Linked DNA regions of Oryctolagus cuniculus. The protein of the gene in region 1 interacts with the protein of each later gene in a biochemical or structural test. Links are inferred from orthologs where the notes say so. Each region holds a gene or a part of one and is shown on either strand. Other genes may lie near its edges.

What was found.
Region 2: the proteins of VDR (region 1) and HR form a complex in vitro, tested with the Homo sapiens proteins (2 studies listed by BioGRID and IntAct). The link is inferred for Oryctolagus cuniculus from reciprocal best matches to the Homo sapiens genes VDR and HR.

What each region holds. Positions count from the first base shown.
Region 1 is NC_091440.1:137,481,619-137,497,228, forward strand, and holds the end of VDR (vitamin D3 receptor), read right to left. Parts: intron 12,615-15,610; coding exon 12,430-12,614; intron 12,294-12,429; coding exon 12,185-12,293; intron 11,072-12,184; coding exon 10,900-11,071; intron 6,149-10,899; coding exon 5,997-6,148; intron 5,914-5,996; coding exon 5,797-5,913; intron 1,496-5,796; coding exon 1,236-1,495; 3' UTR 326-1,235; downstream 1-325.
Region 2 is NC_091439.1:1,179,699-1,194,304, reverse strand, and holds the end of HR (lysine-specific demethylase hairless), read right to left. Parts: intron 14,432-14,606; coding exon 13,672-14,431; intron 12,547-13,671; coding exon 12,396-12,546; intron 12,313-12,395; coding exon 12,125-12,312; intron 10,782-12,124; coding exon 10,614-10,781; intron 9,868-10,613; coding exon 9,778-9,867; intron 9,667-9,777; coding exon 9,551-9,666; intron 8,282-9,550; coding exon 8,200-8,281; intron 7,866-8,199; coding exon 7,702-7,865; intron 7,577-7,701; coding exon 7,340-7,576; intron 7,179-7,339; coding exon 7,013-7,178; intron 6,881-7,012; coding exon 6,811-6,880; intron 6,661-6,810; coding exon 6,530-6,660; intron 6,390-6,529; coding exon 6,270-6,389; intron 6,172-6,269; coding exon 6,056-6,171; intron 4,444-6,055; coding exon 4,279-4,443; intron 3,881-4,278; coding exon 3,752-3,880; intron 3,597-3,751; coding exon 3,531-3,596; 3' UTR 2,420-3,530; downstream 1-2,419. UniProt on the Homo sapiens protein: Histone demethylase that specifically demethylates both mono- and dimethylated 'Lys-9' of histone H3. May act as a transcription regulator controlling hair biology (via targeting of collagens), neural activity, and cell cycle.

The DNA.
Region 1 (15,610 bases):
GGGTGGTCAGGGCCGGGGAGTCCTCAGGGAGCGTGCTCGCCCCCCGGGAGGTGCCCCAGGAAGGGCAGCTTCTTCACGGGTTTGCTCCAGTCTCTGCTCTCAGGGAGTCCCCGGTAGCACCCCACCCTCCCTCCCGGAATCTGTTGCCCCGCACTTGCTCCCGACCCCGCTCACACCTCGGCTTCCGGTTTGCAAGCGCCTTCTGCACACGCCCCCAGCCCCACCCAGCCCCACGTTCCCCTCCTGCACTGGGCTCCCAGGTGGGCGGCAGGGGCTGCGTCCCGAGCTCCGCCTGGTCAGAGCCTGGAGTAGGCAAGGCCGCGGGCAGAGCGGGGCAGACGCGTTTATTGATCAGCGTTGAACAAGGAGGAACCCGGCACTGATTCACATTGAGACAGAGGCTCGGAAGGGAGGTCCTTGTGTGGAAGCCGGGGCTCCCCGGGGGGCAGGGTTCTGGCCGCAGGGTGCACTTGCTCAGTGACCTCCAAGCTTCGAGTCCTGCAGCTGAACCTCAGCCAGGGGGTCTCCTTGGGCCCCTGGGCAGCAACCACGGTGGTAACTGACGCGAGGGCCGGGGGCGCTGCTCCCCTCTGTATCAGAACACAGCATAGACAGTGGCAGTGGTACAGCTTCCACAGGACGGCTGCTGCGGGGCCAAGTCTGCCCCAGGGGTCTCCAGACTCTCCTGGTGGTGGCAGCCATGTCCCCCAACTGCCCCCCCAAGCAAGGAACGTCACAGGTTCAAGGGTCTCACCCGACTTCTCAGATGGCAGCCACCCACCACCTGGCCCCAGAGCCCTAGAGCAAGTGTCCAGACAACAGGGGTGGGAGGCCCTCGGCAGCCCTGCCCAGGTCAGGTGAGCACAGACGGGCAATGGGACGTGGTGGTGGTGACCCTCTGGCCGTTCGCTGTGGGGGTGACCCTCTGGCCGTTCGCTGTGGTGGTGACCGTCTGGCCGTTCGCTGTGGGGGTGACCGTCTGGCCGTTCGCTGTGGGGGTGACCCTCTGGCCGTTCGCTGTGGGGGTGACCCTCTGGCCGTTCGCTGTGGGGGTGACCCTCTGGCCGTTCGCTGTGGGGGCTCAGGAAGAGGGCCTGGGCGCGTTGTCATGCCTGCTGGATGCTCAGCCAGCACTTGCAGTCCCCTGCGGAGTGGGGCGTCTCCCTGGGCCTGTGGCAGGGCAGGGGTGGGAGGGGAGGAGTGGGGTGGGCTGCAGGGGCAGAGGGGGAGGGCGGTCAGGAGAGCTCATTGCCGAAGACCTCGAGCACCAGGGGCGTGAGCTTGGTGCTGCTCCCCGGCTGGAAGGACAGGCAGCGGTACTGCTTGGAGTGCTCCTCGTTGAGGCCGCGCAGGTCCGCCAGCTTCTGGATCATCTTGGCGTAGAGCTGGTGGCTGCCCGGCGGAGGGTGGCGGCAGCGGATGTAGGTCTGCAGCGTGTTGGACAGGCGGTCCTGGATGGCCTCCACCAGCCGGGTGTCCTGCACCCCGGGACGGTCTGGGCGTGGGGAGGGGGGCACAGGGCTCAGCCTGCAGCCCCCACTCTCCCTGCCTCGCCCCACCCAGCATTCTGTGGCCCCAGCCACACCTGCTGGAACCCACCGTCCTGTGCTTTGGGTCAAGTCCTACTTCCACCTCCACATCCTGTGCTCTGTCCATCAGTCCCTCTGTCCTGGAGCTCCGTCTCCACTCCATGTCCCTCTGTCCTGGAGCTACGTCTCCACTCCCTGTCCATCTGTCCTGGAGCTACGTCACCACTCCCTGTCCCTCTGTCCATCTGTCCTGGAGCTCTGTCTCCACTCCCTGTCCCTCTGTCCTGGAGCTACGTCTCCACTCCCTGTCCATCTGTCCTGGAGCTCCGTCGCCACTCCCTGTCCCTTGTCCATCTGTCCTGGAGCTCTGTCTCCACTCCCTGTCCATCTGTCCATCTGTCCTGGAGCTCTGTCTCCACTCCTTGTCCCTCTGTCCTGGAGCTCCGTCTCCACTCCCTGTCCCTCTGTCCCTCTGTCCTGGAGCTCTGTCTCCACTCCCTGTCCCTTGTCCATCTGTCCTGGAGCTCCGTCTCCACTCCCTGTCCCTCTGTCCTGGAGCTCCGTCTCCACTCCCTGTCCCTTGTCCATCTGTCCTGGAGCTCCATCTCCACTCCCTGTCCATCTGTCCATCTGTCCTGGAGCTCCGTCTCCACTCCCTGTCCCTCTGTCCATCTGTCCTGGAGCTCCGTCTCCACTCCCTGTCTGTCCATCTGTCCTGGAGCTCTGTCTCCACTCCCTGTCCATCTGTCCATCTGTCCTGGAGCTCCGTCTCCACTCCTGTCCATCTGTCCATCTGTCCTGGAGCTCCATCTCCACTCCCTGTCCATCTGTCCCTCTGTCCTGGAGCTCTGTTTCCACTCCCTGTCCCTCTGTCCTGGAGCTCCGTCTCCACTCCCTGTCCCTCTGTCCATCTGTCCTGGAGCTCCGTCTCCACTCCCTGTCCCTCTGTCCATCTGTCCTGGAGCTCCGTCTCCACTCCCTGTCCCTCTGTCCATCTGTCCTGGAGCTCCGTCTCCACTCCCTGTCCCTTGTCCCTCTGTCCTGGAGCTCCGTCTCCACTCCCTGTCCATCTGTCCATCTGTCCTGGAGCTCTGTTTCCACTCCCTGTCCCTCTGTCCTGGAGCTCCGTCTCCACTCCCTGTCCCTCTGTCCATCTGTCCTGGAGCTCCGTCTCCACTCCCTGTCCCTCTGTCCATCTGTCCTGGAGCTCCGTCTCCACTCCCTGTCTGTCCATCTGTCCTGGAGCTCTGTCTCCACTCCCTGTCCATCTGTCCCTCTGTCCTGGAGCTCCGTCTCCACTCCTGTCCATCTGTCCATCTGTCCTGGAGCTCCATCTCCACTCCCTGTCCATCTGTCCCTCTGTCCTGGAGCTCTGTTTCCACTCCCTGTGCCTCTGTCCTGGAGCTCCGTCTCCACTCCCTGTCCCTCTGTCCATCTGTCCTGGAGCTCCGTCTCCACTCCCTGTCCCTCTGTCCATCTGTCCTGGAGCTCCGTCTCCACTCCCTGTCCATCTGTCCATCTGTCCTGGAGCTCCGTCTCCACTCCCTGTCCCTTGTCCCTCTGTCCTGGAGCTCCGTCTCCACTCCCTGTCCATCTGTCCATCTGTCCTGGAGCTCTGTTTCCACTCCCTGTCCCTCTGTCCTGGAGCTCCGTCTCCACTCCCTGTCCCTCTGTCCCTCTGTCCTGGAGCTCCGTCTCCACTCCCTGTCCCTCTGTCCATCTGTCCTGGAGCTCTGTCTCCACTCCCTGTCCATCTGTCCATCTGTCCTGGAGCTCTGTCTCCACTCCCTGTCCCTTGTCCATCTGTCCTGGAGCTCCGTCTCCACTCCCTGTCCCTCTGTCCATCTGTCCTGGAGCTCCGTCTCCACTCCCTGTCCCTTGTCCATCTGTCCTGGAGCTCCATCTCCACTCCCTGTCCATCTGTCCCTCTGTCCTGGAGCTCCGTCTCCACTCCCTGTCCCTCTGTCCATCTGTCCTGGAGCTCCGTCTCCACTCCCTGTCTGTCCATCTGTCCTGGAGCTCTGTCTCCACTCCCTGTCCATCTGTCCCTCTGTCCTGGAGCTCCGTCTCCACTCCTGTCCATCTGTCCATCTGTCCTGGAGCTCCGTCTCCACTCCCTGTCCATCTGTCCCTCTGTCCTGGAGCTCCGTCTCCACTCCCTGTCCATCTGTCCATCTGTCCTGGAGCTCTGTTTCCACTCCCTGTCCCTCTGTCCTGGAGCTCCGTCTCCACTCCCTGTCCCTCTGTCCCTCTGTCCTGGAGCTCCGTCTCCACTCCCTGTCCCTCTGTCCATCTGTCCTGGAGCTCCGTCTCCACTCCCTGTCCATCTGTCCATCTGTCCTGGAGCTCCGTCTCCACTCCCTGTCCCTTGTCCCTCTGTCCTGGAGCTCCGTCTCCACTCCCTGTCCATCTGTCCATCTGTCCTGGAGCTCTGTTTCCACTCCCTGTCCATCTGTCCTGGAGCTCCGTCTCCACTCCCTGTCCCTCTGTCCCTCTGTCCTGGAGCTCCGTCTCCACTCCTGTCCATCTGTCCATCTGTCCTGGAGCTCCGTCTCCACTCCTGTCCATCTGTCCATCTGTCCTGGAGCTCCGTCTCCACTCCTGTCCATCTGTCCATCTGTCCTGGAGCTCCGTCTCCACTCCCTGTCCCTCTGTCCTGGAGCTCCGTCTCCACTCCCTGTCCCTCTGTCCATCTGTCCTGGAGCTCCGTGTCGCTCCCCCTCTTTGTGGAGGAACGACACAGGACCCTGCGCTGTTCTTTTGTCTGCTCGGCCCTCCCCGGGTTTGCTGCTGGTTCTTCCCGGGTTGGCTACCGTCCCTTCCACCTCCATGGAAGGGCGGTTCCCCCTGCCACTTTTCCCACTTCCGCGGGGGAGCGGCACACCGCCGGCCGGCTCTCTCGGGGGCTGCACAGGTGTTCCTTCAGATAGATGTTCCTGGTGCATGTTGTCTCTCTCCTCCTTTATAGTCCTCTTCCACCAATCCCAACTCTGCTACCCACACGCCGAGTACGCTGCTCTCCTCCAATCAGGAGCAGCATCAGCTCCTGCAGGTCATCACTCAAGTTTGCGAGAGGCAGCTGCGTAGAAGTTGTTACTCCCTTCTCAGTGCCATATTGTGGGAGAGCAGATGCATAGAATAAGTCTTAATTCCAGTAACAGTCTAGTCCGAGTTGCTCCCCACAGCTCCATCTCCACTCCCTATCCCTCTGTCCCTCTGTCCTGGAGCTCCGTCTCCACTCCCTGTCCATCTGTCCTGGAGCTCCGTCGCCACTCCCTGTCCATCTGTCCTGGAGCTCCGTCGCCACTCCCTGTCCCTTGTCCCTCTGTCCTGGAGCTCCGTCTCCACTCCCTGTCCATCTGTCCATCTGTCCTGGAGCTCTGTTTCCACTCCCTGTCCCTCTGTCCTGGAGCTCCGTCTCCACTCCCTGTCCCTCTGTCCCTCTGTCCTGGAGCTCCGTCTCCACTCCCTGTCCCTCTGTCCATCTGTCCTGGAGCTCCGTCTCCACTCCTGTCCATCTGTCCATCTGTCCTGGAGCTCCGTCTCCACTCCTGTCCATCTGTCCGTCTGTCCTGGAGCTCCGTCTCCACTCCTGTCCATCTGTCCATCTGTCCTGGAGCTCCGTCTCCACTCCTGTTCCTCTGTCCATCTGTCCTGGAGCTCCGTCTCCACTCCCTGTCTGTCCCTCTGTCCTGGAGCTCCGTCTCCACTCCTGTCCATCTGTCCTGGAGCTCTGTCTCCACTCCCTGTCCATCTGTCCTGGAGCTCCGTCTCCACCAGGGTCCCCATCAGCCTCCCTCTGTCAGTCAGTTGTTGAACCGCAGCAGGAGCAGGTGCCTGCCCAGGCTGCCTGGGGCACGAGCCAGGGCCCAGCCTGGTGCCCGGTATCCGCCATAGCTGCGGGGCCTGGGGCTCCCCTCACTCTGACGCTGGGGCACGGAAGCTTCTTCCTCAGCCTTTTTCCCTCTCCCTGCCCAAACAAGCGGAAGAGGGGGGTCCAGGCGGTGCCACCCCCAGGCCCTGACTCTGAGGAGCTGCAGCCACAGGAAGCCCAGCCGGCTCCACAGAGAGCAGGCCCCGGTCTGGAGGACACCCAGGCCCACACAGGACCACCGAACCCGGCGCTTTGGCTCCTCGGTGACCTGCGGTCTCCACAGAGCAAAGCCGTGGTCTCAGGGGCCCTCAACACAGGCAGCAAAGCGGTGCCTGCCATGGGCCTCTCCGCCTGGGGCCCTCTGTCCTGCCCGCTCCCCGCGGCCGGGCACACCTGGGGACACGATGCAGATGGCCATGAGCAGCACGTGCTCTTCCTCGTGCAGGTTCAGCTTCTTCAGCCCCACCTGGAACTTGATGAGGGGCTCGATCAACTCCAGACTGTGTCCAGCTGGGGGAGACAGGTGCGTGCTGCGGGCAGGTCTGGAGCCACCATGCCCCCCTCCCCCCCGGCCCTCCGTGGGCTGGACGCACCTCTGGTCACGTCGCTGATGTTGTACTTGTAGTCCTGGCTGCCGCAGTCCCAGGACATGTCGTCCGTGGTGAAGGACTGGTTGGAGCGCAGCATGATGACTTCGATGGCGCTGGACTTGAGCAGCACGATCTGGTCTTCGGAGGTGAGGTCCCTGAGGGGAGGGGCCGACACGACAGCTCAGTGCACCTGGAGCCCAGGTGACAGGTGAGCCCCAGAGCCGAGCAGCCGGGCCCCCCTGCGCGCCCACCCCAGCTCTCTGCGGGGCTCCCCTCCACACAGCCCCCGGCTGGGGCCGAGGTGGGAGCGGTGGCAGTAGGAGGGCAGGGCAGGCGGTGGGGTGGGTGTGGAGCCAGGCTGTGTTTCTGAGCACAAAGCCACTCATCAGCAGCCCACGGGAAAAGGGACACGCAGAGCCCACTCCCCTCGGTGCCCCCAGCTCGTCCTGGGCTCTGATCCCCGGTCTGGCTGTTTGTGAGGGGCCTCCCGGGAAGCACACGCCGCTGGGACGAGAGCCTCCGTCTGAGTCGCCAGCGGGGCCTGCCTGAACACGGCCAGGAGGGGCAGACCCAGGCTCTCCCCTGCCGGCTTCTCCTCCTGACGGATACTCCAGAGAGCGGCCGCACGCATGCGCATCAGGACAGGCAGCCCTGATGGCTCCATGTCTGCTGGGATGGCCGCCCGCATCTGCATGGAGCAGCCCAGGTGTGGGAGCAGGCGGGGCCCCCTCCAGCGCCTGGCCTGACACTGCCTCCACGGGACGCAGCTGGAGCCGGGTGCTCGCGGCCCGCACGGTGCCGCAGTCCCGGAGCTGCGCTCGGCTGCGGGGACCGGAGTCTTGCCTCGTTTCCCAGGAAGAACGTCATGCGTGCCGACGCTCTCCCCTACCCTCAGTCCTCATTTTAACATAAAAACCGACCCCACCCCACTTGGGTTTAGCTCATCAGACAAGTAAACCATAGCTTCTCATACATCCCTGGACAAAACAGAAAAAATACAAAGGCAAAGAACAAGGGCTCAGAACGCGCCAAGCATGCGGCGCGCTCCCTGTCATCCGTCTGCGCAAACTCGCGTTCTGCAGCCCACTTCCTGTGTCAGTGAAACTCCCGCGGCCCACTCGCGGCGGGTGCGCACCTGACTCACCCCATCAGCCTCCCCTTCGCCTGTTTGTGGACGTTTTGGTCACTTGTCACCCCTCCCACCCAGAATAGTGCATGGTGTGTGAGTGTGGTGGCATGTACAGGCGTGGTGGACCGTGGTGGCATATTCAGGTGTGGCGAGTGTGATGTGTGTACAGGTGTGGCGAGTGTGATGTGTGTACAGGTGTGGCGGTGGGTACAGGTGTGGCGAGTGTGATGTGTGTACAGGTGTGGCGGTGGGTACAGGTGTGGCGAGTGTGATGTGTGTACAGGTGTGGCGAGTGTGATTTGGGTACAGGTGTGGCGGTGGGTACAGGTGTGGCGAGTGTGATTTGGGTACAGGTGTGGCGGTGGGTACAGGTGTGGCGAGTGTGATGTGGGTACAGGTGTGGCGAGTGTGATGTGTGTACAGGTGTGGTGAGTGTGATGTGTGTACAGGTGTGGCAGTGGGTACAGGTGTGGTATTGAGTGCATGGACGTGAGCACGGTGCTGAGTGCTGAGCCTGTGGCGCTTGGCAGAGATGTCAATGGCTTTGCCGCTTACCGTGACCTAGACAAGCCGCTGCCACAAAAGCAAAGCCACATGGACCCACAACCCCACCCACAGCCTGGAAACACAGGACACTGTAGGTACAGCCACAGCCGGAGCGGGGGACAGAGGTGGGTGGGAGGTGGCGCTCCAGAGGAACCCAGTATGACCACTCCCCATGCCAGCCAGGCGCTTCCTGGATTGTGAGCCCCTGCTGGGTCCCTGGGCTGTGGCTGGGTTGTGCTGCCCCGTCCTCCCCACCCAACCAGGGCTGTGGCCCTGTGGTAGGGGAGTTGCTCCCTGTGTACGCCCCCCAGGAGGCAGGGACGGTGTCATGGCCACGCCTAGGCCCAGTGCCAGAGGGCTGAGCAGAGGGGAGAAGCCCCGGGAATGCATGTACAGGGGCCACCACTGCCCCCTTTGCCAGCCTCTCCCATGGCACCAGCTACTCCAGGGACCTGTGTGGGGCAGCCCAAGGGCTGGGCACAAGCAGGAGCACAGCCACAGCAGCCATCGCCCTCCCCACGCCGGGGCCCGCCCACAGCAGCGAGAGCAAAGTGTGGTCGCAGCAGAAGCCGGGCAGGCCCCGAGCAGCCACACCAGGAGCTTCTGCAGCCACCACAGGCACAGCTGCCCCAGGAGGGCTCACTCCACACGTGTCCATCACTTCCTGTCTATTGGTCAGTCACAGTGCAAGAGGGGACCTCGTAAACTCTGAGGACAAGGGAACCGAAAGAGATTTATTTAGGTAGAAAAAATGTTTAACTCTATGCACAGGAGGAGTCTATAGAGATCATGAAAAGTGAACATGAAAACGCTGTGCACATTTGAAAAATGATTTTTGGGCAAAAACATCTTTTAATTCCCTGCAATTCTTGAAGTCTCTATGTGCATTAATTCCATGGCAATGGAACATATCAATTTTAGAGAGAAGGAGGGTGCAGAAACACATAGCTGTAGACACAGTGGTCTCACCACATATCCACAAGGAAGGTACAGATACACTCAGATACAGACACATGGTCTCACCATGTATCCGCAGGGAGGGTGTAGATACATTCAGATGTCGACACAAGTTACACCATGTAACCACAAGGAGGGTGTAGATACACTCAGATGCAGACACAAGTTACACCATGTAACCACAAGGAGGGTGTAGATACACTCAGATGCAGACACAAGTTCTCACCTTGTACCCACAGGGAGGGAGTAGATATACTCAGACGCAGACACACGGTCTCACCACATATCCACAGGGAGGGTGTAGGTACACTCAGGTGCAGACACAGGTTCTCACCATGTGCCCACAGTCAGGTGTAGATACACTCAAATGCAGACACAGGTTCTCACCATGTGCCCACAATGAGGGTGCAGGTACACTCAGATACAGAAACAGGTTCTTACCAAGTATCCACAGGGAGGGTGTAGATACACCCAGATACAAACACAGGTTCTCATCACATACCCACAATGAGGGTGTAGGTACACCCAGATATACATACATGGTCTCACCATGTATCCTCAGTGAGGGTGTAGGTACACTCAGGTGCAGACACAGGTTCTCACTATGTATCCACAGTCAGGGTGTAGATACACTCAGGTGCAGAAACGGTCTCACCACGTACCCACCGTGAGAGTGTAGATACACTCAGATGCAGACACAGGTTCTCACCGTGTGCCCACAGTCAGGGTGTAGATATACTCAGATACAGACACAAGTTCTCACCATGTCTCCACAGTCAGGGTGCAGATACACTCAGATGCAGATACACGGTCTCACCACGTACCCACAGTGAGGGTGTAGGTACACTCAGGTGCAGACACAGGTTCTCACTATGTATCCACAGTCAGGGTGTAGATACACTCAGATGCAGACACAGATTCTCACCACATATCCACAAGGAGGGTGTAGATACACTCAGATACAGACACACGGTCTCACCACATATCCACAGGGAGGGTGTATATACACTCAGATACAGACATAGGTTCTCACCACCTATCCACAGTGAGGGTGTAGATACACTCAGATGCAGAAACAGAATCACCACATACCCACAGTGAGCATGTAGGTACACTCAGATACAGACACAGTCTCACCACATATCCACAGTCAGGGTGTAGATAACACTCAGACGCAGATACACGGTCTCACCACATATCCACAGTCAGGGTGTAGATACACAGATACAGACACACAGTGTCACCACATATCCATAGTCAGGGTGTAGATACACTCAGATGCAGACACACAGTCTCACCACAGTCAGGGTGTAGATACACTCAGATGCAGAAACAGAATCACCACATACCCACCGTGAGGGTGTAGATACACTCAGATGCAGACACACAGTCTCACCACATATCCATAGTCAGGGTGTAGATACACTCAGATGCAGACACAGAATCACCACATACCCACAGTGAGGGTGTAGGTACACTCAGATGCAGACACACAGTCTCACCACATATCCATAGTCAGGGTGTAGATACACTCAGATGCAGACAAGGTTCTCACCACGTATCCACAGTCAGGGTGTAGATACACTCAGATGCAGACACAGAATCACCACATACCCACAGTGAGGGTGTAGATAGACTCAGATGCAGACACACGGTCTCACCACGTACCCACCGTGAGGGTGTAGGTACACTCAGGTGCAGACACACAGTCTCACTAGGTATGTACTGAAAGTAACAACAGTCTACTGGTTTAAGAATATCAACACCACCTGCATGGTTAAATAGAAGCTTCACACACCACTGCCAACAGGAGAACACTGGACTAAAAAGTGGAACTCCTCTGAGTGACCTCACTCACGCGCCTGCTGGCTTGGAAAAGACCAGGTCACGGCCACCGCTGCCACGCGTCCTCTGGCTTCCTGCACTGCTCCCTGTCTCCTCTCTGTCAGGTTTTCTGGCTCAAGACTGTGTGCAGAGGCATCAGCAGGCCGCAGTTAGAGGCACAGTCTGGGGGTGAGGTCCGCTGTGGACGCGCCAAGGGGCTGGCTCCAGCTCCAGGAAGGAGCCCCTGGTGGCCACCGAGATGCTCGGGGCTTTCCCTCCATCTCAGGCATGGGGAGGGGTCATGTTCCCAACAGGCCCTGGAGCCAGCAGGGAGGCCTGCACTTCTGGACACACAGATATGGGCTGGCTTGAGTCTGGTCAGCGGCAGTGGACTGGGGGCCCCAGGCCACGGGTCCTGAACCCTGCTCCAGGCATGACGGAGCCTCTCACCTGAACCCTGGGATCATCTTGGCAAAGCCGATGACCTTCTGGATACTGTAGCTGACCAGGTCTGCCAGGTGGGGCAACATGGAGAGATGCGACAGGTCCAGCGTCACCGAAGGGTCATCTGAATCTTCCTGGTCCTGCTCCAGGCTGGAGAGGCTGGACGGCTCCATCAGCTCTGGGGAAGTGGAGGGAAGAGGAGGAGCTCACCCCGCATGCGTCACGGAGGCGCCGGGGTCTGCGTGGGTGTGGGGGGAACCAGATGTGTGCACTCAGGGACCACAGCGATGCCGCTCATGGACAACAGGAGCCAGGCGAGCATCCAGGTGCCCCAGGTACACACCCGTGACACAGCCGGGCGCAGGTGTGTCGGGATCGCAAGAGGTCTGCAGGGTGTCACGGAAAACACACAGGATGGAAAAACCATGCACGACTTGAAGAAACGTTTGCACCAAAATCAGTATCTTTCCTTCTATTTCCCACGAATGTTGTGGGAACTCTCCAGGGAAGACCTTCCAGCATCTATCCATGATAAGCATCTTCTAAAATGAAAAGCGCTAACTTGTGCACACAGACACTGAGTGCGTCACAGCTGGGGTTCACGCCCCCTGTCAGTCAGCTGTAAGTGGCGTCACTCCAGCTGGCACGGAGCTGCCGAGACGCGGAAGGGGGACTTGGATGGCAGTGGGGAAGGGCAGGAGTGGGTGCAGAATTAGCACAGGGGGCCCACACCAGAATCTGGGGGTGGGGATCTTGCTGGCACTGACCCCTCCCATCTGTCCACCCATGAAGCTTCATCTGCCGCCTCTGTCCAGGCCGTGCTGGGACCCCATCCACCCATCCTGGTCCCAGCACTGGGGCCGCAGGTGGCGGATCTGGGGCTCAGCTTGCTTGGAGTGAGGGCTTTCTCCATCCCCATCCTCCTAACAACCCCTGGTGTGGGACAGCAGGGCCAGTTGAGGGGCGGAGGGAGAACAGGGCAGGTGGCAGGGTGAGTGGTCAAGGGGTGTGAGAGGAAGAGCCGTCTCCCACGTGCAGGTGGCAGGGCCCAGACTGGGGGTGCTGCAAGGGGCTACTCCAAATGCCCCCTCCCAGGGGACTTGGGGACAAAACACTCTCACAAGGAGCCAGGAGAGCTCCAGGGAACGGCCATGGGCAGAACCTGGCCCCACAGAAGGGGCCTGGGCGAGAGGCGGACCCTAGCCTGGCCTCCTCCCAGCACAGGCCTGGGGCACGTTCCCCCACCCCGGCCAGTGCACTGGGCTGGGCTCTCGCAGGGGGCCCTGGGTACCTGAGAAGGAACTGAGGTGGTCTGAGCCCGAGCAGCAGGAGTCCCCGGAGCAGCTGGGTGTGGGCTTCCACGGGTGGCTCTGTCCACGCTCCGCCTCGCGGATCGGAGGCTGCAGGGAGACACGGGGTCTCAACTCTCCCATCTCCAGGGAGGCCCATGGGCCAGGGCTGTCCAGTGCTCCAGGGCCAGGAACCTGCCAGGCTGGGCCCCACCCCCACCCCGCTCCTGCTGCCGGCAGCACACACCCGGAACTGGCAGAAGTCGGCATAGGTAGGGTCGTAGGTCTTGTGGTGGGCGTCCAGCAGGATGGCAATGATGCGCTGCTGCTCGTCGGACAGCCTGGGCCGCAGACTGTCCCTCAGGGCCTCCTCCTCCTTCCGCTTCAGGATCATCTCCCGCTTCCGCTGCACCTCCTCATCCGTCAGGATGACTGCGGGAGGGGTGGGAAGCGCGGGCAGTCGGCGACCGCCTGGGCCCGCACAGGCATGCGGGGGACCTGGGGGTCTCCAGGTGAGAGGCAGGCGCCTGGGAGAAGAGGCAGAGCCCAGGCCAGGCAGGAAGGCCCCTTCCCAAGCACAGACTTCAGGAGGTGGGGACCGCAGGCCCCTGGGACGGGCTCAGCACACACGCCCGCCCTTTCTTGCTCCTTCCTCTAAATGGTGCAGGCGTGTGCGTGTGCGCACGTGGGTGCACGTGAGTGTACAGCGGCAGCCCCGTCTGGAAGGCTGGGCCGTGCTCGGATGGGAGGCTGTGCAGAGCTCCCTGCAGTGCCCAGCCCGCTCCCCAGGTCCCACCCACACCCACCCACACAGGACGCGGCGCCTGCCTGCGGGCACAGCAGCCCCTCCCCCGCCGGCCTGGCCTCGGCATTTCTGCCCAAGGCGGTGCCCGCATGCTGCCGTCTCTGGCCCCAGCAGGCCTCGGAGGCTGCCTGCCCGGCTGTGCCGGGAGCGGGTGCCCAGGCCTCGACTTGCAGCTGCTCGCTCTGAGGCGCTGCCAGTGCTCTGCCCACAGAAGCGAGGCTTTCCCAAGAGCAGCAGCAGGAGCCAGAGCCCCACGCTGGGTCCCGGAGCTTCGGCAAAGGCCGACAGGGCCCGGACCTCATGCAGGGGAGCACGGGGGAGTCAGAGTGTGTGTGCACGTCCAGAGCCTCGGGCAGAAGGAAACGGGGCTGGCAGCCAGAGACGCAGGGTTCCCCCAGCTGGAGGCAGGCCGGTGCAGGAGCCTGACCTGGCTGCCCCAGAGCCGCCGGCCATCCGCCCCCGGGGTCTTGGCCCCCAAGGGCATCTTCCTGGAGGAGGGGCTGCGCTGGGGCTGTGGTGGCTGGGCTGGGTGTGGAGGGTGCTCAGAAGCCCTTCCCGGCTCCTGCCCACTTGCCACAGCCAGGTCACAGCCTCCCAGACCCTTGGACGCAGCCTCCCACCTTGGGCACGTGGCGTTGGCCTGTGCACGCAGCCAGCTCTGTCTCCACGCAGGCCGAGCCCCTGCGCCAGGCTGCCTCCCTCGGCTGAGTGAGATCTGGCCTCCCTGATCTGCGCGGGGCGCCCCCTCTCTGCCTGCTGCACAGCTTCCCTGTTCACTGGGCACCTGGGCGTCTCCCGCTTGAGATATCCAGGGTTAGCCAAGGGTTCAGAGCCCGGAATGTGCTTAAGAAGCCGAGATAAGGGCCACTGAGCTGTATGGGCCCGCCCTAGGTGTGCATCTCCCCCCAGGAGCCGGGCACTGTGGTGCCCACGTCAGGAGTCACCAGCGATGGATACAATGTAGCAGGCACCACACTGACCACTGCCCACACCCTCACCAACCTGGTTACTGCCAACAACCCGCAAGGCAGGTGCTGCCATCGGCTTCACACATCTCACCCGGCCACACAGCCAGCAGACTGGGTCAGGCTGGCTCTGGAGTCAATGGGGCTAGCCACTGCGCTGTACTGCCTGGGTGGGACTCCAGCCTCAGCCTCAGAGTGCTGACGCCCAAGTGCTGCTGCCCAATTCCAGGAGCTCCTAAGTGACCGGAGTCACCTTGTGACCTCGTCCTTCCCATCCCTGGCCTCAAACCACCCCCGCTCCCACAGGGCTGCAGAACAAACGCTGAGCCGTGCCCATCTCTACCACGGGTCAGGGGCTGTCCACGGCCGGTGCTGTCGCCACCCAGCAAAGGCTGCCTAAAGGCTATTCCTTCCCAGGGACAGACACGAACACTCACTGCCACACGCAGAAAGGGACCTGTCTGGGGGTGGAAAGCTGTTCACCAGCATGAGGGTAAACAGGCCCGAAAGGGTGCTGGGTGGGCTCCCGGGTGGACGGAGCGTGAGCTCTGGGCCCTGACACTGGAAAGCTCCAGGGCTGCTCCACAGCTTCCTACGCCTGCGGAGCTGCTGGCCCAGGCTGGAGTGGTTCTGGGCAGCTGTCCCCATGCCACACACGGCCCTGCCTCTGCGAAGTCAAGATCTGCTCAAAAGTGATTTGCAGACCCTCGAGATGCCCGTGGCAGCCGAGTGATGGCGGAGGGTAGGAACAGTCCTGCTGCGGAGTGTCCCTTGGGGGAAGGCTGGGACCACCTGCAGAGCTCCTGGGGAATGGGCAGGACTCTGGGCTGCTTCCAAGGCTCTACCTTATTTTCTGCGGGAGCTCTGATTTCTTTAGGCCCCTGTCACACACAGGCTAGTGTCTACCTTCCCAGCCGACATAAGGACTGGCAGGGTCACGAGTGACAGCCATTTTCAGATGTGACAGAAACACACTGCTGCAGAGACCAGGGCAAGGTGCAGAGACACCAAGGAGCAGACACTCGCGCAAAACACACTCACTGAGCACCTGCTGCACAGCAGATTCTGTGGGGCACTGAGAAGACACACACCCAGGAAAACACCAAACAGGCTGACACGACAGGCAGTCCCTGTGCAGGATGGGGTAGGGAACAGGCTGACATGACAGGCAGCTCTGTGCAGGATGGGGTAACAAACAGGCTGACACAACAGGCAGCTCCCCCTGTACAGGATGGGGTAGGGAACAGGCTGACATGACAGGCAGCTCTGTGCAGGATGGGGTAACAAACAGGCTGACAAAACAGGCAGCTCCCCCTGTACAGGATGGAGTAGGAAAGGCTGATATGACTAGAAGCTCCTGTTCAAGATGGAGTAACAAACAGGCTGACACAACAGGCAGCTCCCCCTGTGCAGGATGGGGTAGGAAATAGGCTGACATGACAGGCACCCCACCCTGCTCAGGACAGGGTAGCAAACAGGCTGACACAACAGGCAGCTCCTCCTGTGCAGGATAGGGTAGCAAACAGGCTGACACAACAGGCAGCTCCTGTGCAGGATGGGGTAGGGAACAGGCTGATGTGACAGGTGGCTCCCCCTGTGCAGGATGGGGTAGGGAACAGGCTGACGTGACAGGTGGCTCCCCCTGTGCAGGATGGGGT
Region 2 (14,606 bases), on another chromosome or scaffold:
CCACACGGGCACCCCCTAAGCTTTTGAGGCACTTGCCCTGTCCAACACCTCTCAACCAGCTCCCTGGGGCTGGGTGCAGTACCCCAGGACAACAGATTGGCTCCGTGCGTGTGTGATCCTCAGTTTTCCCACCTGTGAAGTGGGGGCAGTACTGCTGCCAGACTCCCTTCTGCCTCCAGGGATGACTGAACGAGAGAGTGAGATCATGTCTGGGCATGGCTCTGAGAGCGTCAGAGGCATCTTGAGATAAACACCAGACGGTCCAACCGCCCTAAACCTCAGCTCCACTTCCCCCCACCCCACCCCTGTTCTCACCAAGAGAGCGCTCCCCTCCTGTCCAGCGGCCCTGCGGGCCCTGGCGGGGAGCGCCCTCCCCAGCACCAAGAGGCTTGCTTGGGTTAAGCCTGGGAGACACACAAAGTGGGGGGTGGGGGGGCAGATACGGAAGCTCTCCGGAATCTTCAAATCTGCCCCGTGGCCTCCGTTCCCAGAGGCCAGAGCGGGCGGCCGCCCCGCCTATTGGACATGAGTGCCCCAACTGGCGCACGTGAGCTGGGCGGCCTGGGGTCAGCAGCCTCAGCACAGGAACGCAGACATGGACGTGGACATGGACATGGACGGGTGAGCAGGGCAGGGCAGAGATGTCTGTAGCCCGAGATTCCTCTCCAGGGCAGCAGCCCTGGCTCTTGGCCGAGTGGTCAGCAGGAGGGGGCAGCCTGGTGGCAGAGCCTCCTTGCTGTTTGAATGACCTTGGGGGGAGCCAAGGTCAAACATGGACAAACTGCCGGACCCAGGGATGGGAGAGTGGGCAAGCCGGGACGTCTCAGTGGGACGCAGTGATGGTATTGTCTTGGTTTTGCCGAGGGCACTGGGTTTATGGAAGATGTTTGTCTTAAGGGAAGCTGGCGGAGGGGCACCTGGGCGCTTTCTGTGCTATCTTGGTGACACGGCCGTCGGACCACAATTATTTCAGCACAAAACATCTGAGGATTTTAGAAGAGAGAAGGAAAAAAAGGCATTGACTACGTATACGCCGAGCTCCCTGCCAGCTCTGTGACGGGCGTGTCAGTGGTGTCTGGGCTGGCGGCAGAAGGTGGACATTGAACTGCGGACCCCGGTAGAAGCAGAGGCCCAAGGTTCTCCCGGGCACTGGTGCCCCAAGCCGAGGGCCAGGGTCAGCCCCCACCGGGACTGGCTCTGTTCCCAGGCCCAGCCCTGGAGCAAATGGGCATTGACCCACCTGCTGTTTACAGAGACCAGATGTGAGGGTACTTCAAGAAGTTCATGGAGAACAGAATGAAAGAAGAATTTTTTTAAATCCATGCATAGTATTTTTCATAACACATATTTTCCACGAACTTTTAAAAAATACTTATTTATTTGAAAGAGAAGACTGTCACCCACTGGTTCACTCCCCCAAGTGCCCACACAGCTAGTGCCTGGGCCAGGCCAAAGCCAGGAGCCCAGAACTCAACCTGGGTCTCCCACATGGGTAGCAGGGACCCATGTACTTGAACCAGCACCGGCTGCCTCCTCCAAGGGTGCTCATGAACAGGAAGCCGGGACCTGGAGCAGAGCCAGGCCTCGGACCCTGACACTCCGGAACGAGAAGCAGGCACCCCCCCCCGCCCCCGCCCCCGTCCTAACCACTGCACTGAAACCCCCATTCCCATTCCCCGTGAAACTCGCAAATCCTGCACCTACCTGGGAGGGGGGGTGGGGGTAGGGGGACAGTGCCTGGGCCGTCGGCACCCCTAATGGACACAGTTCAGAGCCTCACCCTCCCTTGGGAAGGGCCCTGGTCTGGGGTGATGGCGGGATTCGGCTTCGGCAGCTGACATGTCGGGAGGAACGTGTCATTTGGTGCCTGATCGGCTCTAAAAGTGCTCAAGCGGGAGCAGCGTCTCAGCGGCGAGAACTCTCACACGTGCGGAGCCTTGATCAGAAAACCTGGTTCAAATCCCAGATCTGCACTGACCTTGCTGGTGACCCCCACCTGCCGGCTCCCTCTTCTGGCGTGTGAAAGCCGACTGAAAGTGGCCAGTGCAGACAGGCGCATGGTAACATAAAGTTCTCCCAGTTTTTCCCTTCATACCAAGAAAACGTGAAAACCAGCAAGCTCTCTAAACCAGGAAGAAACCTAAAATCTGTTTTCAGACGAGGATGGTTATGTAGATCATGACAAAGCCACTGGATGGACTAGAAGCAGCCGCTTAAAATGAAGGTTAGGGCCATACAGAAAGCGATTACAACAGTGCTGGGAGACACCAAGTACAAAACGTCCTGGATACAACAGATCCTTGCGGAGCGTACTAGAAGGAAATTTACCGACACAGTAATAGTGGTTGGGTTGTGGCCAGGGGTGAGTAGCGAGAGCCTTGAAGGTGAGTTTGTTATTTTCTAAAGGTTTTCAAAGCACTTTACACTTATAATAAAAAATTTTTATTTAATAATAAAAAAACACACCATTCCCCAAACCAGAGCAGGAAGAATTAGGTATGACAAGAGCCAGGGTGTTGTCTGGGGCTGAGATACACAGGGAGGGAGTAGAAGGCAGAGTCTGGCCAGAGGGGCCATGGGGAGGAGACGGGAGCTGCCTGAGGTTGTGAATGAAGCTGTCCCAGGCAGCCGGACCTGGAGGTGGCTGTGGCCACGGCGGCAGATGGACTGGACAAGGGCTCCCTTGGGCCCCATGCCTGGGTCTCCGGGTCAGGGTGCGCAGGAGAGACAGAAGGGGTGTGCCTTTGGAATCTGCAGCCACTGGGAGGAGAGAGGCCACCTTGCTGTTGGTCCCAGGGCTCTGCCTTCCATGGCCACACGGTCAGGAGCATCTCCACGAAGCGTCCCCCTGGGGGGGGGGGGGTCCATCTGCTCCTCCGTGGGAGGGGGCAGGGGCCCGGGCGCCCAGAAGAAGAGCAGGCGGTGCTGTTTGAGGTCCCCATCTCCTCCCATCCCCCAACTCCTGCCCCAGAGCAGACTGCACGCCTCCCCTCCCCGCCCCCACGCTGGGGGCTGCCACCACACGGGCCTCAGTGGACATCAGGAATCGGGGAGAAGGAAGTGAGACAGGGTGACGTGGCCCATGGCACTCCCTCCCGCCTGCCCACCCCATACTTCCCGGCTCTTCTGGCAGACCGGCCTGCAGTGTGCAGGGCTGCGGGGCGGGGGAGCCCAGGGGGTACCTGGGAGGTAGAAGCGGAGTTCAAGGGCAGACGATGAGGCAACAGAAGTAAGAGTTGCTAAAGCCAGAATGATTGTGAGGTCCCCCAAGGGAGGCGGCAGGGGTAGGGTGGAGGGAGTTAGTCACCCCCCGTGTAGGCCTGGTGCCCTGGAGGGGGATACGGGGTGGGGCAGGTGCAGCTTTGGTGGCACTCTGGGCAGGGAGCAGGAACCGTGTGCCCTGCCTGTGGTGCTTGTGAGAGTGACTAACAGCCCCCAAGCTCCCCAGCCTCATTCCCTGCTGAAGCATCACCCGGGCTGAGCACCTGGTCTACCTGCTCCTGCCCTGACCTCTGACACCTGGGATTCCCCTATTTGTCAGTCTCCTGTAATGTCCCCACAGCCACCTTCACTGCTTGGAACACCGCCCAGTCCATCTAGAACAGAGAGAGAAGACAAAGGGTTTTCTACCACGTTCCTAGTCCCCAACCTCCAGCCCCCTCCACCCCGTTCCCTCCCTGCCTTGGCACAGAGCTGGACCTGCTATGCCCACCGCACCCTGCATTGGCGGCAGGGGGAGGGTCTCACTCACCTGGGCATAAAGCAGGCGGTGGGCAGTGGGCAGGCTGGGTCCCTGGTGGCAGAGCTGAGCAGAGAGGGCACAGGTCTCGGGGGACAGGAAGTGCTGGGTGACACTGACCGTGCTGACCAGGCCCTGCACCTGTGCCAGGAAGAACACGGGCGGGTGGGTCAGCAGAGGCTCACGATCTTGCCCTCTCCCCCTGTCCCTGCTTCCTCCTGCTGCCCTCTGCCCAGTCCCCAGGGGGCACAGGGCCTGGGGCCAGCCCCAGATACCCTGATGCCAGAGGGGACAGGGTCCTCCCCATCAGTATACTAGTGCATGGGTGTAGGGGGCGTGGCCAGGACCAGATTCCATCCCCGGGGCCAATACTAGCAGGCTGAACCCCTCAAGGGGACCACTCAGCCCCTCTCCTCCCTGTGCCAGGCGCCACCTCCCATCATGCCTAGCTCTGTGTACTACACCCTAGCGCCCCTGGCAGCCTGACCCCCACCCCTCCTCACACCACCCGCCCCGCACTGCAGCCGCCAGGGAAGCACCTGGTGGGGCGCTCCCGCGGGCACCAGCACAGCCTCTCCAGGGGCCTGCAGCAGGGTCCAGCAGCTCACGCCCCACTCGTCCCGCAGCCGGCGCCGCAGCCCTGTGTCCAGGTAGCAGCTGCCCGGGGCGCCGGGCTCCAGGGTGCCCGCCACGGCGGGGCAGACCTCAAAGAAGAGAAGGGCCGATGAACAGGGAGGCTGGGAGGACGGGGGCGTGGGCTCCCCAGGGGAGGCCTGGGGCACGGGACACAGCCGGAGTCATCCAAAGTCTTGGCGGCTGGGAGCGGCTGGGAGGAAAGGCAGGGCCCCCGTGGTGAGCAGGGCAGTCGGGCTGGCAGAGCAAACTTGTGCCCCCACAGCGCTAAGAGGACCAGGCTCAAGGCACAGGAGCTGTGGGGCCACATCGTTGCTTTCCCTGAGGGTGGATGCCTTCCGGGGGCTCCAGCACCCCACGTTTGGCCCCTCTGAGTCCTCTCAATGGTACCCCTTTCTCGGCCACCCCAGAAGACGCTGCACAGGACCCCAGCTCTCACACACCGTCTATACCAGCGGGTCTTAACCCAGGACCTGAGTTGGCCTGAACTATGGATGAGCAGGTGGCTCAGTCCCTGGGGAGCCAACCCCAAGCTCTCGTCAGCTTCTCCTGAGAGCCCGGATCCAGAAAACACAAGGCCACCCACAAGCTCTGGTTGCCAGTGGCTGGACAGGCTGAGGCCCCTGCAGCAGGTGCGGCCACGGGGGAGCAGGGGCAGGGGGCTTCCCAAGCCCAAAAGAGCAGAGAGCTCCTTGGGCTGGCAGGGCCTTGTCGGGGCTAGGGGTGCCCATGGAGCACCTGCAGAGCTGCATACTACCACTGGCCACCAGCGAAATCCACCCTCCTCAGCCAGCCCCTCTGCCTTTGACCCCATGGCTCACGGGGCATGGGGTAGGGGGCCGCTCAGACCCGAGGGGAGTCCCAGCTGGGTGCCAAGATTCAAGTCCATCCTGGGGCAAGCGCAGGGTTTCCCAGGCCAGCCAGTGAGCATGCGTCTCAGACCTTCCTCCCTGAGTCATCGGGTTGGGCCACACGGGACAGCCCACGGTCAGCCACACCCAGCCCGGCCCAGGGGAAGCCATTGGTTTATAAAGGTGTGCTGTCTCCCCTCTGTGTATGTGCACATCTTTGGGAGTTGTTTTAGTTTTCCCCAGCACAATCAGGGCTCAGCTGGATTTTGGAACCTGGGGCCTGCCCTGGCCTTAACTCTGACCTCTTGCCCCTCCTGGAGCCTGTGCCTCCCTTCCACTCCCATGACCCCTTTCTCCTGCCCTGTCCTATCCTGGTCCAGTGGTTCCCTCCCCTGCCACGCTGCCTCCTCAGCCCCCCGCAGGCTGGCACCTCCACCAGGAAGTCCCTTCTGATTCGGTGGAGATGAGAGAGGAGCTCCCCTTGGTCCTCCTGCCAGCCCTTGGCCAGAGCCCCCAGGAAGAGCACAGCACGGTGACCGGGGTCTGGGGCCGCCATGGCTCGGATCCCAGCTCTCCCACCGGGCTGCGGTTTTCTCCTAGCAAAATGGGCAGGCAGCGGCCCAGTGTGACGGTGGTCACGGCTGTTCACTGCGACCCGAGCCCCGCGCCCCGCCTCCGCCGCCGCCTCCTGCTCCTTCTCTGAGCCCAGTCTGCTTGCTCCTTGCCTGTCCGCCTGTCCGTACAGAGGGGCGGGGCCAGGAGCTTGCTCCTGGGGCGGAGCTTCTGGGGCCGGGTATATGGGCAGGGGGCGGGCTCCGGGCTGCCTCCTCACCATCTGCAGGAAACGGCGGATGCGCTGAGCGTCCTGTGCCCGGAACACGTGCCACACAGTGCTGACCTGGCTGCCCGGAGACCACAGCCCCTCCCCGTCCAGGCCTGCGAGGACATCTGCTGGAGAAAGACCACTCAGGCGGGCCCAGGGGCGGCGGAGATGGGCACCTGCCTCAGTAGCTTGTCCCCGCCCTTGTCTCCGGCCCAGGCCCCACCTTTCTGTGCCCGGTGCCAAGCAGGTAGCGGGCCCTCGGCGTGCGCCAGGATGCTGACCAGGTCGGCCACTTCCACACAAAGGTTTTTGGTCCCCAGGTGTCCACGGTGTGGGCTCACACCTGCACCGGGTGGGGGGGAGGAGGGGGCAGCGGAATAAGAGAAGTGCCTCAGGCCTCAGGACCTTGGCACCGACAAACGAGTGCCCGATGCTGGAGGGGTCAGGGGTCGGGGAGTGGGCGGGGGTGCAGGGGGCACTCACCATAGGCTGCCCAGAGCTTGGGTTCCAGTGGCTGCAGGGACGGGCCTGGCGGGAGGTAGGAGGCCAGGTTGAGTTTCCCGTGGTGGGCACAGTACTCTCGGAGTGGCAGGCTGGCATCCAGGTTCTCCACCCTGTGGGGAGGGGAGGGAGTCATGCCCAGCAGGCCCAGCCAGGCACAGGGATCCGCTGAGACGCCCGGGGTTGGGGGGACCGACGGAGCAAGCGGCATGGGGTGGGGGTGGGGGCGAGGGAGCCAGGGCTGGGCCCCCTACGGCGCACACCTGCTGCTGTCTTCCTCCCCTAGAGTGCGATGCAGCAGGAGGATGGAGCCCTCGTCCGACCTGGGGCGAACTGAGGAGAGAGACAGAAAGGGCCCCGGCCCGTTGATAGCAGCACATGCCACCCGGGCCGCCCGCACTCCCGGTACCTGTGGCTCAGGCCCCGCCCACTCCCTCCTCCGCCCGTGGTTGGGGGGGTGCTTACTCTCAGGACGGGAGAAGCCATCCCAGAAGGCTGTGCTGCTCACACTCGTGGGCTGGGGAGGGCCCAGGGGGCTTAGCACCTGCACCTGGCCTCCTAGCGCTCCGAGGGCCTCCTTGGTCCACAGGCTGTCTCGAAGCGTCCTCTTAATCCCTGACACCAACACGGGCTGAGGTGGGAGGAAGGAGGCCCCGGGGGGCGGGGCGTGAGTGCGGGGCGTGCCCGCAGCGCGGCGCCAATAGCACCGGGACTCAACCCTGCTGCCCGCCTGGATGCCCTGGGGCCCAAGGGGCAGGAGGGCTGAGAGAGAGGAGAGCGCGCGAGCCCCACCTGGCCCTGCCTCCAGTGCTCCTGGAACAGATGGAGGCTGCGCCCGGGCCTGGGCTCCTGCAGCCACAGCAGAGCCCCGGCGTGAGGCAGCCTGGGCTGCACTGGAGACAGGGGCAGGCTCAGGCCCTTGCGCAGGCCCGGCCCGGCCCGAAGCCCAGGGCCCAGGGCTTTCTCCTGGATCTTGCGCTCTACCACCTGTGCGATGATGCTGTCCAGGATGTTGGTGATGCGATCGTCCTGCGGGGAGGAGGGGATGCCGGGCGGCGCAGGCTCAGAAGCCATGGGCCTGGCGGGGGGGGGGGGGGGGGAGGTCCCCGCCCCCAGGGGGTAGTCCCCCAGCCTTTCCTCGCGGCCTTGCTTACGCTGGGCAGGGCCGGCGTGACGGGCGCGAAGGCCATGTGGATACGCTCGTGCCCCAGGCAGAGTTTGACGGCGGTGGAAGCCAGCAGTTCGCAGAGAGATGGACAAGGCAGAGGCCCCCGGCCCGCACGCTCATCTGCTGAGTTCTCGCCGCAGTCTGGGGTTTCTGTTGGGGGGGTGGGAGGGAGGGGACTGGTGAGGGGCTTCATGTGTTGCCCCTTGTCTTTCTCTGCCTATGGTGCTCTGCCCTCACCCCCTGGCTGAGCCTGCTGTCCCCTCCCCGCTACTCCCCACCCCAAATCTGCCCCAGGATCTCTTAACCCCCCCCCCCAAATCTCCTGAACATGAAGAAGGCGGGGCCCAGAGCAGGGGTCTGGGCCCGGGGGTCTCTTGGCAGCTCCAGATCTCTCCTAGAGACGTCTACTGCTTGCTCCCCTCCTGCTTCTGCGTCTGGCCCAGCCTCCCCCTGCACGGTCCGAGGGACCAGGGGGGCCGCTCACCCTCTTTGATGTCCTTGGTCCTGGTGATGTCCCCATTACAGGAAGGCTGAGCAGTTGGGGCAGTTTTCTCTGACGGCTCCTTCTGTTAAACCCATCCGCCACCCCCCCCATCCAACCAGAGATTTAAAACACGGCAGACACAACTCAACCTACAAGAAGGAGGCATGGGCTCTCGCAAGTCCTAATGTTGCGTTTTTAGGAGCAAGAAGGGCTGCGAGGCAGGACGGAGCTGCTCGTGGACTTCTACACAGGGGTCCTCTGAAAGCACACGCAAAATGCTGCCTGCGACGCCGGCATCCCACATGGACACCGGTTCAAGTCCCGGCTGCTCCTCTTCCTATCCAGCTCCCTGCTAATGTGCCTGAGAAAGCAGTGGAAGATGGCCCAAGGCCTTGGGCCCCTGCACCCACATGGGAGACCCAGATGAAGCTCCTGGCTCCTGGCTTTGGCCTGATCCAGCCCTGGTCATTGCGGCCCTTTGGGGAGTGAACAAGCATCTCTCCCTCTCTCTCTGACTTTCAAATAAATAAATACATACATATTTAAAATAAAAAACAACTATGCATCAGAGGCGGCCCTGTGGTGTAGCAGGGTAAAGCTGCCGCCTTCAATCACAGGATCTCTCTCTCTCTCTCTCACTGTCTCTCTCTCACACTGTCTCTCTGTTCTCTTCCTCTCTCTATAGCTCTGACTTTCAAATAAATAAATAAATCATTTCATTAGGAAAAGAACTATGCGTAGATTTCAATATTTCTTTTTTTGCAGCAAAAGAACCTTCTATTTTCATTCCATTTTCCATGAACTTTTGGAAGTCCCCTCATGTAGCAAAACAGACGAATAAATAGGCAGACAAATGACTGGGAGGGAACAGACCAGAGCAGCTCTGGGAAGTGTCCGAGGCCACGGCATTGTGTTCCTTACACTTGTCCATATTTGCCCAATGTTCCACGATGGCTATGTGACACGCACGCGGTGCATCCATCGTTGCGTGGACAAGTTTTATAGTCAAATCATGAACTTCACGCAAACTTTGCTAAGATGCTGCAGGAATGCCTGCTACGTATGTTTCCTGAAGGAGCCCGGGGACCCTCCAAAAGGGCACCCAGCGTCCAGTGGCAGGTGCTGTGCTAGGATTTGCAGGTCGTGGGGGAGGACTCTCGGCAGGCAGGGAGCGAGGACTTCCAGTGGGGAGGAGGTGGGCCAGGTGCCAGAGCTGGCTGCCTGGGTCCTAATCCCAGGGAAGGCAGGAAGCCGTCTGAGGTCACTGGCTCCCTTGTCCCTCTTCATCCCCCCCTAAGGGGTCACAGTCCCACCAGCATCCCCTGCCACCTTGCCAGGCCCTGGTTCTTACCTGCTGGCCTCCATTCCCGGGAGCCCACACCCGGGCATCAGCTTGGCAGAGGCAAGGTCCCCGGATGTCAAACTTGACCCAGACCTGGTGCATTGCAGCGCTCAGCTCTGCCAAGGCTGGGCGTGGAGGCGGGGTGGGAGGGAGAAAGGGAGTTTGGTGGTGACAAGGGCATGGACAACCAGACAGGACACACCCTCTGCACGCCCCACCCCTCCACGGTGGCTCACCCTGGCTGGAGACAAACTGGGTTAACACTAGGGAGCAGGCGGAGTGCCCGGCCTCCTGGGCACAGTGCTGTGTGGCCTGCTCCTGAGCGCCTGTGGGGTAGGAAGGGAGAGGCTGCAGGTCCAGAATGCAAGGCGACCACAGGCCGAGGTCAGGGAAGACGGCCAAGGATGCGACATCTAAATCAAGGCTCCAGAATTCACCAAGCGGTGCTTTCTGGGAAGCCCGGCTCACACCGTAACACAGGAGTCTCTGCTTACAGAACACGGAGACCTTAAATACGCGGAGACACTTTGCAAGATCCCAGGGCGGTCATACGGAAGAGAATGTTCCAGAACACAGCGCATCCTGGAACGCCGTTTGGCCACATCTATGGGAACACGGGGAAACTTGGGAGTCCTCAGGTGGCCAAGGAAGAGAAAGCTGAGAGACCCGTGGAGGGAACAGGGCAGACTCGGCGCCCCATCCCGGCGCCGACGCCACTCTGCATTTCACTTGTTTGAAGATCGGAGGCCACAATACCCATGTCACAGAGTGAGCCCAGGCTAAGACAGGTGCTAGCTGAGCACAGTGGGAGGCACAGAGGAGGCACCGGGCTTCTCTAAGGGCCGGCAAGGACATGAGCGTGGCACTCTGGTCTAGGCGGAGGGAGAGAGCCACTCTAAGGGGCAGTGAGCAGCGCTGGCCATGGGCAGGCGGGCAGGTTGGGCACCGGGTGGGGACGCTCTCCGTGCTGTGGACCAGCCTTGCTGTGGCCTCCGCCACCCCTCCCCCCTACAAATGGCCCGGCTCTCTGTCTCACCCCTCAGCCCCAGGGAGCCCCTCCCTCCCGTCTCACCTGCCTTCTCCCTGGCCCTCCCGGCGGCTGCCACGCGGCCACAGGCCACACACAGCCGGCGGCTGCAGCGGGGGCATCTCCAGTGGGTGTTGAAGAGCCCGTGGTGGCAACGGCTACAGCAGCGTGGACTGCCTGGCTTGTCCTCGCTCACGGTTGGCCCCTGACCTGCTGACCACAGAGAGAGAACGGGGTCAGAGGGCTGAAGACAACACTGGCCCCTAGCGGGAAGCCTGCAGACAGCTAGAGCAAGAGACGCAGAGAGCAGTACCCCTGGAGGGTGTCCCATGGTGCCCCGCTCCCCAAAGGCCCTTTAAAGGTGGCCCCTACCTCCTCAACAGCCCAGACAAGGGCCTCCTGGCAAGAAACCACTCTGTCCAGCAAACCCCTCCCTGGGACAGCCTCAGCTGCCCCCTTCCTGCCCCGCCCTCGGTGCTGTCCCAGGCTCTCCCTGCTGGTGTGGGTTACTAAACCACACCGCCTCCAACATGCCACCTGACTCAAAATCCTCGCCCCCCCCCCCCGTGCCTTTCGTCCAGGGGGCCTCAAGTCTCTGGGAGGCCCTTCTACAAGTCCACGGAAAAACAGACCAAAAACGTAAGCCAACGTTTGGCTGCAGAATTCTTTTTGCCATCCATCCGTGCATAGGTTTCAAATGAACTTGCAGTTCCCGTAAGCATTTTTAAAAGGCCTCATATTAGCAGGGCAAACCCTCAGAGGCGCCTCCTGCTCTCACCCAAGGCAGATTTTTTTTTCTTTAGGGAAGACGATTTAAGGAGCGTGAACCCCTGGTCACTCACTGCCTGGTAGGCAGGCAGACTCAGAGCTGGTGGGCTTCAGCCCCGCCTCCTGGTGCTCACATTCCAATCCAGGTAGGGAGATGGGCTCAGACACTGCACCATGAGGGCCAAGGGGGGTTCACCGGAAACAGGAGGGAGGCAGCGGTGGGGAGCATGCAGGCGGCCCCCATAGGGTGGGGCCAGGGAGGAAGGGAGGGGCGGGGCATCCCAGAGCAAGGGAACAGCCAGGGCCAGGAAGGATGAGCTGTGAGACTCCGGAGTGGGGGCACATGCCGGAGTCCAGGCTGGAGCGGCTGCAGAAGGGCAGGGGCCCAGTCTCTCCCTGCCCGGCCTCTCCGGGGCGGGAGGACGCCGCCAAGGGCCTCTCAGGGCTGGGAAAGGGCTGCGGGGGAAGAGCCCGGAGCCCCAGGAGCGGAGCGAAGGCCCTGCCTGCACCTGCCGAACGCCCGCCCGTCCTACCAGAAGCCCTCCTGAGCTCCCCAGCTCGCAGGGCTCCGGCACACTCAGTCTGGTTTTCCCACCAAGTCCTCCAGCTCACAGAGGATTGGGCTAGACCAGCCTTTATTTCCCAGGTCCCCCCCTCCCCGCCGCTGCCACCACCACCCCGCAGCCAGAAACTTCAGCGCTGACAGCCATGGGTCCTGGCAGGCCTGGCGACAGGCAGGGCAGGTGGGAGGGGGCCCCCTCCCCCACAAGCCCCTGAGCTTCGCTCACCTTCACGCTGTGCCCAGGCCAAGATCTCCCGCTCCCTCCGCAGCAGGCGGCACAGCCGGTCCCCCAGACCACTCAGCAGGTGCTTGGCAAGGCTCAGGTGGAGCTGCGCCTCCGGGTCAGCCGCTCCTCCCTCCTCCGAGCTGGGGGCCGAAGCTTCCTCCTGCCACGCCTCCCCTGCCAAAGGCCGTCTGGAGAAAGAGCGAAGGAAGGTGAGGGAGGGGGTGCAGGGCCGGGGGCGGGGCGGGGCAGCGTCCAGGGGCAGTGGGCTCACCTCTGCACCAGCTGGGAGGGGTGGCTCAGCCCTCCGGCCTCTCCAGCTGCCTGGACACAGCTTTGGCATGGAGTAGTGCCTGCCGAGAGGGCTGGACAGGGTACATCCCGAAGCCCTGGACCCTGGAGGCCAGCCCTGCCATCCCGGAGTCCTGAGGATAAAGTAGCCAGTCAGAAGGCTAGGGTCCCTGGGTTCATGTAAACCCCAGCCTCTGCCTTAGCTCTCTCCCCATGAGGCCTGAGTCAGAGTGGCCCTGGCAGCCATACAGCAGGCACAGAGGCTGGGCAGGGAGACAGGTAGTGCCCTGACACGATCAGACAGGTGAGGGAAGGGCCGTCTGCTGCGTCAGGCCCACCAAAACTGTGGGCACACAGATGCAGGGTTCAGCCAGTGTAGACATGGGACAACTCCCCCGAGGGCTCCGTGACACAGCCAGCTGCGTGATGACATAAGGGGACAACCCCAACACGATAGAGGACGTTGGAAAATGAGAAGGCCAGACGATGCCCATGCAGGCCACAGGGGCAGCCACCCAAGACGTGAAGGGGCCAGAAACTGCTCAGGCCACGCCTCTGGCAGGTGTGGCCAGACCCACAGCAGGTGTGGGAGTCTGGTGCCAGAGAACGGAGGTTGGCACCGTACAGCCAGGCCCCTCTGTGAGGGACACGGTGTGACAGAGGGGTCCACGACGAAGCCAAGACTGTCACTCAGGCTGAGTTCAGTATCAGTGTTCATGATCCAGCTGGTGGAATGAGGCAGAACACAGGGTGCCTGGGGCAGCGTGGGGGTCCTTCGGAGAGATGATCCCCGAAGGGACTGGCAACGGCGCAAGGGATGCGGGCAGTGGACGTACGCCTAGTGCCCAGCAAGTGCCAGGGACTTCTTCCAGAGCCCTTAACATGAGTTATTACGGCGTGGCACCTCTGCCGCCTTCTTCATCTATCCCTGTTTTACAGACCCAAAAACTGAGGCCAGCCAGGTGCAGTAACCGGCCCAAAGGTCATGCATCTGTCAATCAGCGAAGTCAGGAGGCGGGCACTCTGGCTGCGTCAGGGCTGGGGAGGGGGAACTGGATGGAGACAGAGGGACAGGAGCCCCCCCCCCCCCCCCGCCAACAGGCTCTGGTCTGAGGAAGCTGAGCAGCTCCCAGACAGCCATGGGGGTGCAGGCCGAGAACCTGGCCACCAGGGTGGGATCCCCAGGCCCTGCCCTGCAAAGCCCAGCCTTTCGGCCCCCTCCCGAACAAAGGCCCCTGCAGCGCCCCCTGCTGGATCACCTCTCTGGTCCTCACGCCGTGCGGCCTCTGCTTTGCTCCCCACCGATGCGTCCAGCAGCTCCTGGCCTGCGTCGCCTGGGACAGGGCCAGGTGGGCGCTTGGGGGCCGGGCTCCCCGCGGCTCCGTGCACCTCAGGGCTGCCTGCCCTCTTCCGCAGCTGAGCGGCCGGGCTCTCCTGGTTGCCAGGGCAGCCGCCTGGACACCCGAATTGCTCAGAATGTCGCGTGAGCCACGTCTTCTTCAGCTTGGTGTGGTGGCTGGGGGGGCAGGCCCTGGGGCTGGCGGCTTTGCTCACTTCCTCGCCGGAGTCACCGGGAGCCCCCTCCAGGCCCTCCTGGCACTTTCCACACGGGCTGAGGCTCTCTTCTCCATCGGGTGGGTGGGAGGAGAAACAGCCGCCGCCCTGGGCGTTAGGAGGTCCTGGAGAGGGGCACCTCGGTGTGGCTGGGGGCCCCAACGGGTACCCAAGGCTCCCACCACCTGGTACGGGCCAGACGTTGCCAAGGGTATGGACCAGGCCTGGGGGACACGGGGGCCAGGGGCTCCGGGGCACAGTGTCTGCGTGCCCCAGGAAGAGCGGGCAAAGATTCTGCTGCCTGCCAGCTCCTGCCTCCCCATTCCGCGGCGGGAGCTCGGGGCGCTCCACCTCCCCGGTTCGCTGGAGCTGCCCACCGGGGCCCAAGCCCCGCAGCCCGGGCTCTGCAGCTGCCAAGGGCTCTTTGGCCAGCCCCAGTGTGCTCGGATCCTTGTGGTAAAAGCCCTGAAGAGAGGCAAAGGGGTCCACGCTGAAACTGCCTTTGCCTCCCCATGGGCAGAGCTAGAACCCCGCAGGGAAAGGACAGGTTCTGGGGGCCCCACCAAGGGCCTCCCCTACCACCCTGGGGCCCTCCCCACCCAGGCCCTGCCCTGGATGCCCCATATGCAACTAAACAGTC